Linked DNA regions of Nothobranchius furzeri. Each later gene encodes a partner of the first gene's protein in a complex. Links are inferred from orthologs where the notes say so. Each region holds a gene or a part of one and is shown in the gene's direction. Other genes may lie near its edges.

Region 1 (5,471 bases):
CGAAGAAGAACAGTGACACGTGGGCTTCGACTGTGTCCCTCATGTTCACCTCCGGCTCCTCCAACAAATCCCAGTCCTCCTCCAAGTCCAGAGACTGGCCGAGCGGCCCTCCTGGTGCCATGGCCAAGCTCCTTCCTCTTCTCCATCATTTGTTGTTGGGCCCGGGATACATAATAGAGAATTAGAAGGTTGACGATGATGGCACCAGTTAACAGAGTCTGGCAGAAGGTGATGCGCATGGCAACTGAATTTAGTCCAGAGATGCTTGAAATAAAAACTGCGTATCAGTAAAGGCATCCAGCGGCAGGTCTCTGGTCCCCATGGGTTTGAAGGTGGATGAATGGGATTTAGAGACAAACTAACAAAACAAAGAGAAACACTCATATTTATGTGCAACAGTTATAATGCATTAAAATCATGTTAATTTATTATGGCACAAATTAAATATGTTATAGTGACAAATCTCTAAATTCTGAAAAGTCATAAGCATGCTCCTGAAAGAGTAAGATGTACAGTAAAATCAACCAACGACTGTAGTACCAGTCAATAAAACGAGATAGTAAATTCTACCATAACTTACTTTTGTTTGAAAATATGTGATCATATTCGATAGAAGATGGACTTTTGAAGACATGGAGCCATCGTCAAGCAGTAGTTTTCAGAGGTGTAGCTCTGTAGTAACAAATGCCGTTGTGCACCAGCTCTGCAGCAAATACGGATATTAAACCGCTAAAATATGTACAAATGTGATGTATATTTTGACAATTCCCAAAACACCAATATAAAGCGGCAACTAAATGCGGATATCAAATCAATAAGACGCTAGTTTATACGAGAAAGCCTGATGAATGATTTTAGCGATTTGCTAGCATACTTTGGTTTGTTGCCCGGAGCAACAACAATCTTTTCCGGTCATCTTCCTTCAAAATAAAAACAAATATTTTTAATTCTGAAACAAAAGGACTCATGTGGGCTTCAAAACTCCAATTTCTGATAACATCTCTTAAAAATGCAGTATTTCACTAAATAATACAAATCCCCCCCCCCCCCACACACACACACAAACAAAAACAAATACAATTACATTGGTTGAATACCTTCCACATGTGAAATGACAGGACTCCAGATTTGTTGAATTTGTCACAGTAAGAAAAATATCTTAATTTATATTTTTTCCCCAGTGAATGTTTTCTTTTTAATTTTACCTCGGAAAATATGTAATGAAATTATCAAAATAAAGAACCGGAAGCAGTAGTGAAACACACATAAAACTTTACTATCTGCAAACGCCCCTGTTCACAAAATGGCAGGAAATCAACTTCCAAGAAGACGTGCTCATTGTGTACTAGAGAATACACGTCCCTTTATTTGTCAACTACATTGGACAGTAAAGCGAACACAAGGAGGAGGAAGTAAGAGTAGTAAAAATAAGAGTCGCAATTACAACGTTAGTGATTGTTTTTGATTCAATGATACCAGATAGCTATACTTTAGTGCAATTTGTTCGTTTTTGTCGAATCAAAAGTATTTGTGTAATGTTTTCCTCTGGCCACAAAATATTCAAGATATTCGAAAAGTGTGTCAAGATTTATGCTTTATTGTGAAGGTTTGATAGCGGAAGTGTAGTATTTTACCAAGTGAATAGTAATTTTACTCTACTGTGTGAGAAAAGGAAGAATAGAGGGTCGCTTTTGGGGAAGAACCGTGGGCTAGAAAGGGGAAGGGGGTTCTTTTTTATTATTATTTTTGTTGATCGGTCTTGCCCGTTTCCACCTCCTTGTACTGGCGAGAGGTTGAACGTTTAAAATGGAGGCGGACAGATCCGGCGGCGGACCAAACCCGAACTCCGGAGGCGGTGGCGGCAGCAGCAGCGGAGCGGGGCGCAACCCAAACGGGCCGAAAGCAGCACCGGGCCAGACGACATCATCCGCCGCGGCTGGTCCGATGGCAGCAGTAGCTGCGGCAGCGGCAGCAGCCGTGGCGGCTCCCGGGTCTGTGCAACCTCGGGAGGCACAGGACGGGGACTCCTCGGGTATGACGCTTCCCGGGATCCTGCACTTCATCCAGTACGAATGGGGACGTTTCCAGGCCGAGAAATACCGCTGGGAGGCTGAGAGGGACGAACTCAGGGTAATTGTATCCACCTAAAAGCGTGCGTTTTGTTGTTAACACGGACTTATGAGGAGCAAGGCTGTTTTAGGGGCAGCTTTAGCCTGGTTTGTTGTTGTTAATATTCCTAAGAATCAGTGCCAGGCGGAGGAAGAACATGCTAATGAGCTAACATCACACATTTTCGTATTGCATCGAGAAGGATGGATAATTACTATTCAATAAACGGAAGTGGAGGCGCTACATGACCTTAAATTGATGCTTCCCTCATGGAAAACTGCTACAAGAATCCTCTGTAAGTGAAACACATAAAACGTAGTTTTCTGAGTCCCTTCAATAAATTCTGACCTGCAAAAGCAAGCGACTGCAAAGAAAGGTAAATACTTCTGGTGTGGTTGTCTTTCCCTCATGTGCATACACATCAAATACACTTCTGTGCCACAACCTTTCCAAAAATAATTTTGTTTAGCAATCCACGTGCAGAACTAGTCTGTAAGCAGACAATAACCAGATTTGATTAAACCCCACAAAAATAAATCAAATCATGTGGTTGTTCAGTTGTGGTTGCTGATGATGTCACAGTGACACACAGCTGTGATATTTAGATGGTTTTTTCTCAAAGGAAAAGTCTTGTCTAAATGTGGATTGGTTTGTGAACTTTACAGACCGATCAGAGGAGAATCATTGATCATAAGCAACAATAATCTGCAGCTATGTGTGGTATGAAATCAACATTTTTATCAAACAATCAAATGAGTCGCAGGGGAAATCTTTAAATGAATGACTTTCCACTGACCAGGCCATAAGCGGTGTGTCTGTCTTGTGGTAATAAGTGGGCCCGCATCTTGAAAGGTCATCGATTTGTGTTTGTAAAAGTGGCTGGAAAAACCTTTGTGATATGTGAGTCAGTGGTCTAAAAAAGGCCCCTGAGCAAAGCTTGAGTCCCTCGGTGGTCCCAGTTGTTTTTTAGATGCCAGCAGCAGAAGATAGTTCCCTGCATGGATGTAATGTAACCTTAAGGCAGAGCATTGTGGGAAAAAGTTTGTTTGCTTCTCAGCTTTTTTCCAGTATTAAGAAATGCTAGAAAGTTATGTGTTAAAATGCGCTTTTGCTTCACATTTAGAAGGGTTTGTTTTTCCTTCTTGGACCCATATGCGGGTTTACTTCTGTTACCACAGTTTCCCTGTAATTACAGTAGGCTGAGTTATCTTGTTGAGCTCACAAAGCTTAACAAATGTAAAAACATATATATATTTTTTTAAAAGCACATCACTTGCTCTCCTGTTCTCTGTGTGCCCCTGATTCAAACCTCTGTAGTTATAAATAGAAGGATAAAAAATGGATGAACAATAACAAACTGGCTGAGCTTTCATTCGGCACGTGGAGCAGACAGAAGGGAAATCAGAAACAGGCCGTGGTTGCTGATGGCCGATCTGGTTTCTGGTACGATTAGTGCTGCATCCTGTCTGAAGGAAGGGGAAGATCGCTGGAGTGTTGGGCTGAAAGATTCACCTGCCTTACATTTTAACACCCACAGGCCTCTGGCTTTTGTTGCATGCACGCTTGAAGAGCTCAGCATGCCAGTGAGCGTGCCCGTTGGCTCTGGCCTGCACACTTAACAGCACACTGTACATGCATGCATAATATGGTCACATGTTGTTACACGTGACGTTTTATGTGATGACTTTCACAAGGTTTTCATGAAACCTTACGCTGAGTCTTCCCTGGACTGCAAGACCATCATCGAGGCCTTTAGCGCTATCGTTGGTGCAGCTTTGGGATGTCTTTGTAGCACAGCACGTCTCCGTGAGGCCACAACACATGTGCGGTCTCTGCGAGTGTGTGGTTAGTCCACCGGGCCACCTGTGGTTTTGTGTCTCAGTGGACAGGCCAGTAATGAAAGTTTCCCCCTCTCTCTGAACCATGTATGATGTCTCAGGTCAAACACGGGACAGCAGTACTGAGGACATGTTGGGGTGGACAACATGTTTCTTTGTCTTTCAAAAAGGAAGAAAACAGAACATTTATTTTACTTCAGTGGGAAAACAGATCGTTACCTGTCCTTTAGTTTTATTACTGATAAGAGCGACGTACAATAGATCACTGGTGACTCAGATGACATCACTTCCTGTTGAGTGTGGGTTTTAGACCCCTTGGTTGCACGTGTTTAATTAATAGTTCAGCTCTGACACATGTATGACATCTGTGAAGTGGATTATAATACACCATGCTTTTTTTGCCCACACATACATTTTTTTCCCATCATTCAACAAAAAATTATAAACACAATGTATTCTAGCTTTGAGTTGCATCCTTTTAGGATGCTGCTCTCTGGTGACTGCTGCAGCACTACACACTCTACACACTCCTCCAAAGCAGACTGTCCTAGAAAAGTTCATTGCTCTAGTTGCTTGCTCATGGGTTCTCCCCTGAGGATGAGACAGAGGAAAGTGGCCGGCGGGAGAAGGGACGCTGCCTTTGACCCTGCTCTGTAGCATAGAATCAAGCAGACAGAACAGGCCTAATGTGTGTCGGCTCGCCGTGAGACAACAAAAAGGAAAAGGTCAGCGACAGCGTGCTACATGGAGGAAAACACACTCAGGAAAGAGATCAGATGGCACAACAGGTGTGCTCCCAGTGAGGTTCCCTTGTAGTCGAGCTTCTTTTACTTTTATCATATTATAGAAACTGAGGGTTTTAATACTTCTCATTTAGTTTTGTCATTATTATTGGATACCGCTGGTCTAGCTGATGAACGGGCTGTTTGTTTTTATATGTGTTAGTTCAGGTCTAGAGATATCGGGCCGATATATAACATTTTTTTCTATATCGGCCATCGGCTGAAATTATTTTTAAAAGGTGATTTAAAAAAGAAAAAAAAAATCAGGCACCTGTGTGGCCAACTGCCACCGCTACTAGACTGAAGAAAGGACCCGAACGACCCCAAATAGGGTTGTCACGGTATGAAAATTTAACCTCACGGTTATTGTGACCAAAATTATCACGGTTTTCGGTATTATCGCGGTATTTTTTTAAACGGTGTTGCATATGTTCAGAAAGCATTGATAGTCCTGTTCTACACAAACTGAAATAGTTCTGAAAAGGTTTAACAGTGTTTATTAAACCTAAAATAACACAAAGCCTTAGCAAAAGTGCAACTTTTCACAAGTAAAGGAACAAATAGCTTATTTTTCTGGAACATGTTACAGTAGTCAGTGCAGGTTTAAATTATACAAATCCAAACATTCAAAACATAAACAATATGTAAACAAATCAAAGAAACACCACTTGTTTTCTCATATACTTGTTTTCTTCATTATCAAAATGAAAATCTAAAACTCCAGTCCACACTTGACTTGAGC
Region 2 (5,033 bases), on another chromosome or scaffold:
ACGCGACTCTACCAAGGACTCTTTTTACTTTGCACTAGGGGCGAGCAATATGGGGGGAAAAAAATCACAATTTATTTGTTGCTAAATCGCGATTTTCTTTCCATTTCAACATTTCAGACATTTTGGAATTTTTTTTTTACCAGTAAAATACATCAATTTAAAAGCACACCACTTCACACAATATATGATGAACTATGCCAGAATCCTAAAAAATATCTCAAATTTCCAAACTCTGTCTGGCTCAGTGAAGTTACGTTTTTGTATTATGTATTTATAATTAGTGTAAAATGTTTATTCTATCTCGAGGTGGCTCATATCCTGTCATCCACAATATTATCAGTAATTATATCCATAGACATTCCCTGACTGTGTGGGGGTGGGGTTTGGCCAGTCTTTCTACACAAGCAGGATAAACAAAACTAAAACACGAACGAACGTCCCCAAATAATAAAATCCACGAAGCCAAATGCAAAGTTTAGAGTAGAACATTTACTGCGAGGTTTCCTGATTGAGCAGTCATGTGAGAATACATGTAATGACTGCTTAAAGACTACGCAAGCTAGTAGCTAGTGCTAGCAGCTATCCGCTATAAGTGAGTATGGTTGCTTTGGCAAAGATTCATAATCGTTTATGTCCGCATCTTCATGCATCGATTATTTCATTATTTTCCTCAGCTTCACTGAGCACCCCCAGCTAAACAAAACAGCACACTGCCTACAACTTGTTCTGATTGGTTCATTGATGTGTCTGTCATGCCGACAGCTGTGGCAAAAGAAAACAATCTTTTATACAGAGCATCTCAAGATGATGGTCATTAGGCACTTCCCAAATGTATACAAATGTACACAAAATATTTCTAAATATTATTAAAAATATGTTAACAATGAGAAAATTTTTCAATTGTGATTAAAAAATATGTAAGGAAAAGGAGAGAGAAAATTCATAGGAAAGAGGGAAATAGGTGGATCCCAGAAAAGGCGGAATAAGAGCAGAATAGAGAGTGGTGATGAAGGTCACAAAAGCCATCCGGAACAAGTGAGTCTTCAGCTGCTTTTTAAAGGAGACCACTGAGTCCACTGATCTCAGGCTCAGGAAGAGAGAGTTCCAGAGTCTGGGGGCTACAGCAACAAATGATCTGTCACCTTTGGTCTTTAGCCTGGTGCTGCCTAACCAGTAGGCTTTGATCACTGGACCTCAGGGACCTGCTGGGGGTGTAGGGACTAAGAAGATCGCCAATGTAAGATGGTGCTTGTCCATGTAAGGCCCTATAGACCAGAACCAGGATCTTGAAATGAACCCTGAAGTTGACCGGCAGCCAGTGAAGCTGGAGGAGAAGTGGGGTGATGTGGGTGTGTTTGGAGGACTTGGTCAGAAGCCGAGCACAGGCATTCTGAACCACCTGCAGACGGTTCAGGGAGGTTCTGCTCAGACACGTGAAAAGAGAGTTACAGTAGTCTAAGCGTGAGGAGATGAAGGTGTGGAGAACTGTCTCAAGTTCAGAGCGGGACAGAATGGGACTCAGCTTAGCAACGTTCCTGAGATGGAAGAAGGAAGAGCGAACAAGAGAACTGACATGAGAATCCAGGATGAGAGCTGGGTCAAAGGTCACACCAAGATTCCTGACAGAGGGTTTGGTGTGAGAAGCAAGCTGAGCAAGAGAGTCTCTGACTTTGGGAACCAGCAACCATTGGTTGAAAAAATGTGAACCTTAATGGACTGCTTATATCAGAGATTTTTGATGCAGTCCGATATAATCCGATACACTGTTTTTGGGCCAATATCAAATTACTTTCGACATCGATATCGGAACGGGACATCCCTAACTTAAATTTGGTGCCCTAAAGAGAAGGAAGCCCCTCTAGGATCGCTGATCAACATGCAGAGCTGAAGCACAGCAGAGAGGGAGGAGGAAGAGCAAATTTAAAATAAATAAATAAATATAACATTTGTGACTTAGACAGAATAACGACATATAAAATACATAATAATTATTTTTGGGCTGCTCAATTAATCGAATTTTAATCCCAATTACCATCTGAGTTTTGAACGATTATAAAAACAAAACAAGCCGATTATTTGCTCCTCCCACTTGCGCTGCCCGAGTTGCAAATGAAGCGCTCCTCCCACAGCTGTGGTTGGGACAATTATTACATTAACTGACGGATCTGTAAATAAATAGTTCATGAATAAGGTATAAATAAGTTCCTCACGCTGATAAATAATAACTAACCTCTCTGAGGACACGGTGCTAGTGCACTCTCCTACAGCACCTTGACACGACTCATTAAATGTTATGCAACATTTTGTGAACATCACTTTATTTGCATGTATTTGTTATAAATGCCACTGCATAATTCTTGCTGTCAGTATTTGCAAGATATTGGTATTTGGGTCTGTACTGGTTAGACTTAAATGAGTTAAACCAAGCAGTGGCGTGTCCAGATCTTTTAGAATGGGGTGGCCCAGGTGAGGCACAACTTTGTGCATGGGTGGCACCAATGGTTATGCTTTTCTTTTTGTTTTACCCCCAAGCCTTTTGTGGACAATGAAAAGCCTATTTAAAGTTAAATTAGTGTGGTGGTACCTGGGGTGGCCAATCAGATTCCAAGGGTGGCATGTGCTACCCCAGACCACTCCCTGGACACACCCCTGAAACCAAGGTCTATAGCCCTTGGGTCATAAACTATGAGCTATAAGTGTATTGGTCTTTTTTATACTGGGAATCGGGTTATTTTAATTCAATTCAATTCAAGTTTATTTATATAGCGCCAAATCACGACAAGAGTCGTCTCAAGGCACTTCACATAATAAACATTCCAATTCACAGTTCATTAAACCAATCAGAAATAATGTTTCCTATATAAGGAACCCAGCAAATTGCATCAAGTCACTGACTAGTGTCAGTGACTATACAGCAATCCTCATACTAAGCAAGCATAAAGCGACAGTGGAGAGGAAAACTCCCTTTTAACAGGAAGAAACCTCCAGAGAATCCTGGCTCAGTATAAGCAGCCATCCTCCACGACTCACTGGGGATTGAGAAGACGAAGCAGGCCCGCACGCACGCACGCACGCACGCACGCACACACACACACACACACACACTAGTAATGTGTCTATAGGTATATTGTGATGTCTTTTAGTGATCATCTTGTTTCTTATTTATTTTTGTCCTGATTGTGCCCTGAGCAATTTTATGACGGAATAAAAACAAATAAAATCAACATAAATTGAAAAATCGTCCTAAATAATCGAGATCTCAATTTCAGTCACCATAATCGTGATTATTATTTTTGCCATAATCGAGCAGCCCTACTTATGATGCTAATAACTGTCCTGAAGGCATTTCTCTAAAAACTAATTTAGTGTTATATCACAATAATTTTCCATCAAAGGAAACACTTTTAAGACAACATGTTTCCGTTTCCTCTCCTCAGAGTTCTCACGTGGATCCAGAGGAGCTGTTCACCAAACTGGATCGAATTGGAAAAGGGTCTTTTGGAGAAGTGGGTCCATTTTCATCTTTGTTTTGTCTCAGACATTCCATTCCTTCCTGATCCTAACTTTTTATCTACCTCCAACAGGTGTTCAAAGGCATCGATAATCGCTCTCAGAGTGTTGTCGCCATCAAGACGATCGACCTGGAGGAGGCGGAAGATGAGATCGAGGACATCCAGCAGGAGATCACCGTGCTCAGTCAGTGTGACAGCCCATACATCACCAAATACTTTGGCTCCTACCTGAAGGTGAGAAAAGACATAGTTCAGGCTGATCCGAGTCTCGTCGGTGACGAAGGTGTGTGTGAAACAGTTAACAGAGAGCAGCCGTAGTTAGTGTCTGCTGCTGGTTTCCAGCATCTGCTTATCGTTTTCCTTTTGCTGCATTTGCTGTAACTTATTAACACAAATGGTTTTCTTGTTCAGGGCAGTAAACTATGGATCATCATGGAGTATCTGGGTGGTGGTTCAGCGCTGGATTTGGTGAGCGAGCTGGATTTATCTATTCAGTCTGTCTGCAGACAGTTTTTAACACTAAAACAACCTTCAGGTTGAGTTTTATGCTAAGTAGCTGCAGTTTAGTAAAAAAAAATTAAATGTCCTCACACTTAATCTTGTATCATCTAAAATATCTGAGACACGATGTTCTCTGATGACAAACCTGAGCTTTTATGTTGCATTTTATCAGCCAGTAAAGTCCAGCAATGGTGCTACAATGTCTTGCCCCGTTAGGTTGGTTTATGCTTGACGCGTCCGCGAGGTCCGCACCGCTCCGCGCGGAAAAGTTGCGTCATTTTGCGTCATCTTAACAACCACGCCCCTCCACCGCGCCTCCGCACGGCCCAGAATTTCCGCAATGCGCACGTCGGAAAATTTCTAACCACGCGGACAGACGGACGCGGAAAAACATGGCGGACCGGCAAGAACTACTACGGCAGAGGTTCGTAAACACAGACATTTGTATGATTCAGCTCTCAAAGATCACCGTGATCAACATGTTGTTAATAATTCTTGGAGAGAAATAGCTCGCACTGTCGGAAAAGACGAGGACGCTGTTAAAAAATGCTGGAATGCCATGTTGTAAACAGTAATTTCTACTTCTACTATGGTGTAGTGTTGGATGCATGCCGTAGAGCTCCATGCTGCCCCCTACAGTTTGGGAGAATATTGGCTCACCGCAGAGACGAGCCGCACGAACCATAAACGCTGCAAGTTGTGAAGCACGTTCCATCCGCGAGCCGCATCACCGCGCGGAAAGTGAATGCGTCAAGCATAAACCAAGCTTAACAGCATGCAAGACTTAGAGTTGTGCTTGTCATGAATCCTCTTACACCTCAGTGACAAAAAAGAGGTTTTGTTTTTCTCCCCACCAAACATACAAAATGTCACACTCGGATTTTGGATCTTTAGCCCCAAGTTTTAAACATCAGGTCAGAGATTTGGGTGTCATTTTTGTTGTTGTGTTGTGTTGAATTTTGACAAGCAGATTGACTCAGTCATCAAGACTAGCTTCTTTCAGCTCAGTTTTAGCTAACG

What was found.
Region 2: strn4 (region 1) and stk26 share a complex: the UniProt entries of both Homo sapiens proteins name them as parts of the core of STRIPAK complex. The link is inferred for Nothobranchius furzeri from reciprocal best matches to the Homo sapiens genes STRN4 and STK26.

What each region holds. Positions count from the first base shown.
Region 1 is NC_091753.1:40,964,440-40,969,910, reverse strand, and holds the start of strn4 (striatin-4), read left to right. Parts: upstream 1-1,670; 5' UTR 1,671-1,806; coding exon 1,807-2,130; intron 2,131-5,471. Other genes in the region: ribitol 5-phosphate transferase FKRP, read right to left, coding at 1-239. UniProt on the Homo sapiens protein: Calmodulin-binding scaffolding protein which is the center of the striatin-interacting phosphatase and kinase (STRIPAK) complexes.
Region 2 is NC_091742.1:86,837,457-86,842,489, forward strand, and holds part of stk26 (serine/threonine-protein kinase 26), read left to right. Parts: intron 1-3,437; coding exon 3,438-3,506; intron 3,507-3,584; coding exon 3,585-3,746; intron 3,747-3,923; coding exon 3,924-3,980; intron 3,981-5,033. UniProt on the Homo sapiens protein: Serine/threonine-protein kinase that acts as a mediator of cell growth. Modulates apoptosis. In association with STK24 negatively regulates Golgi reorientation in polarized cell migration upon RHO activation.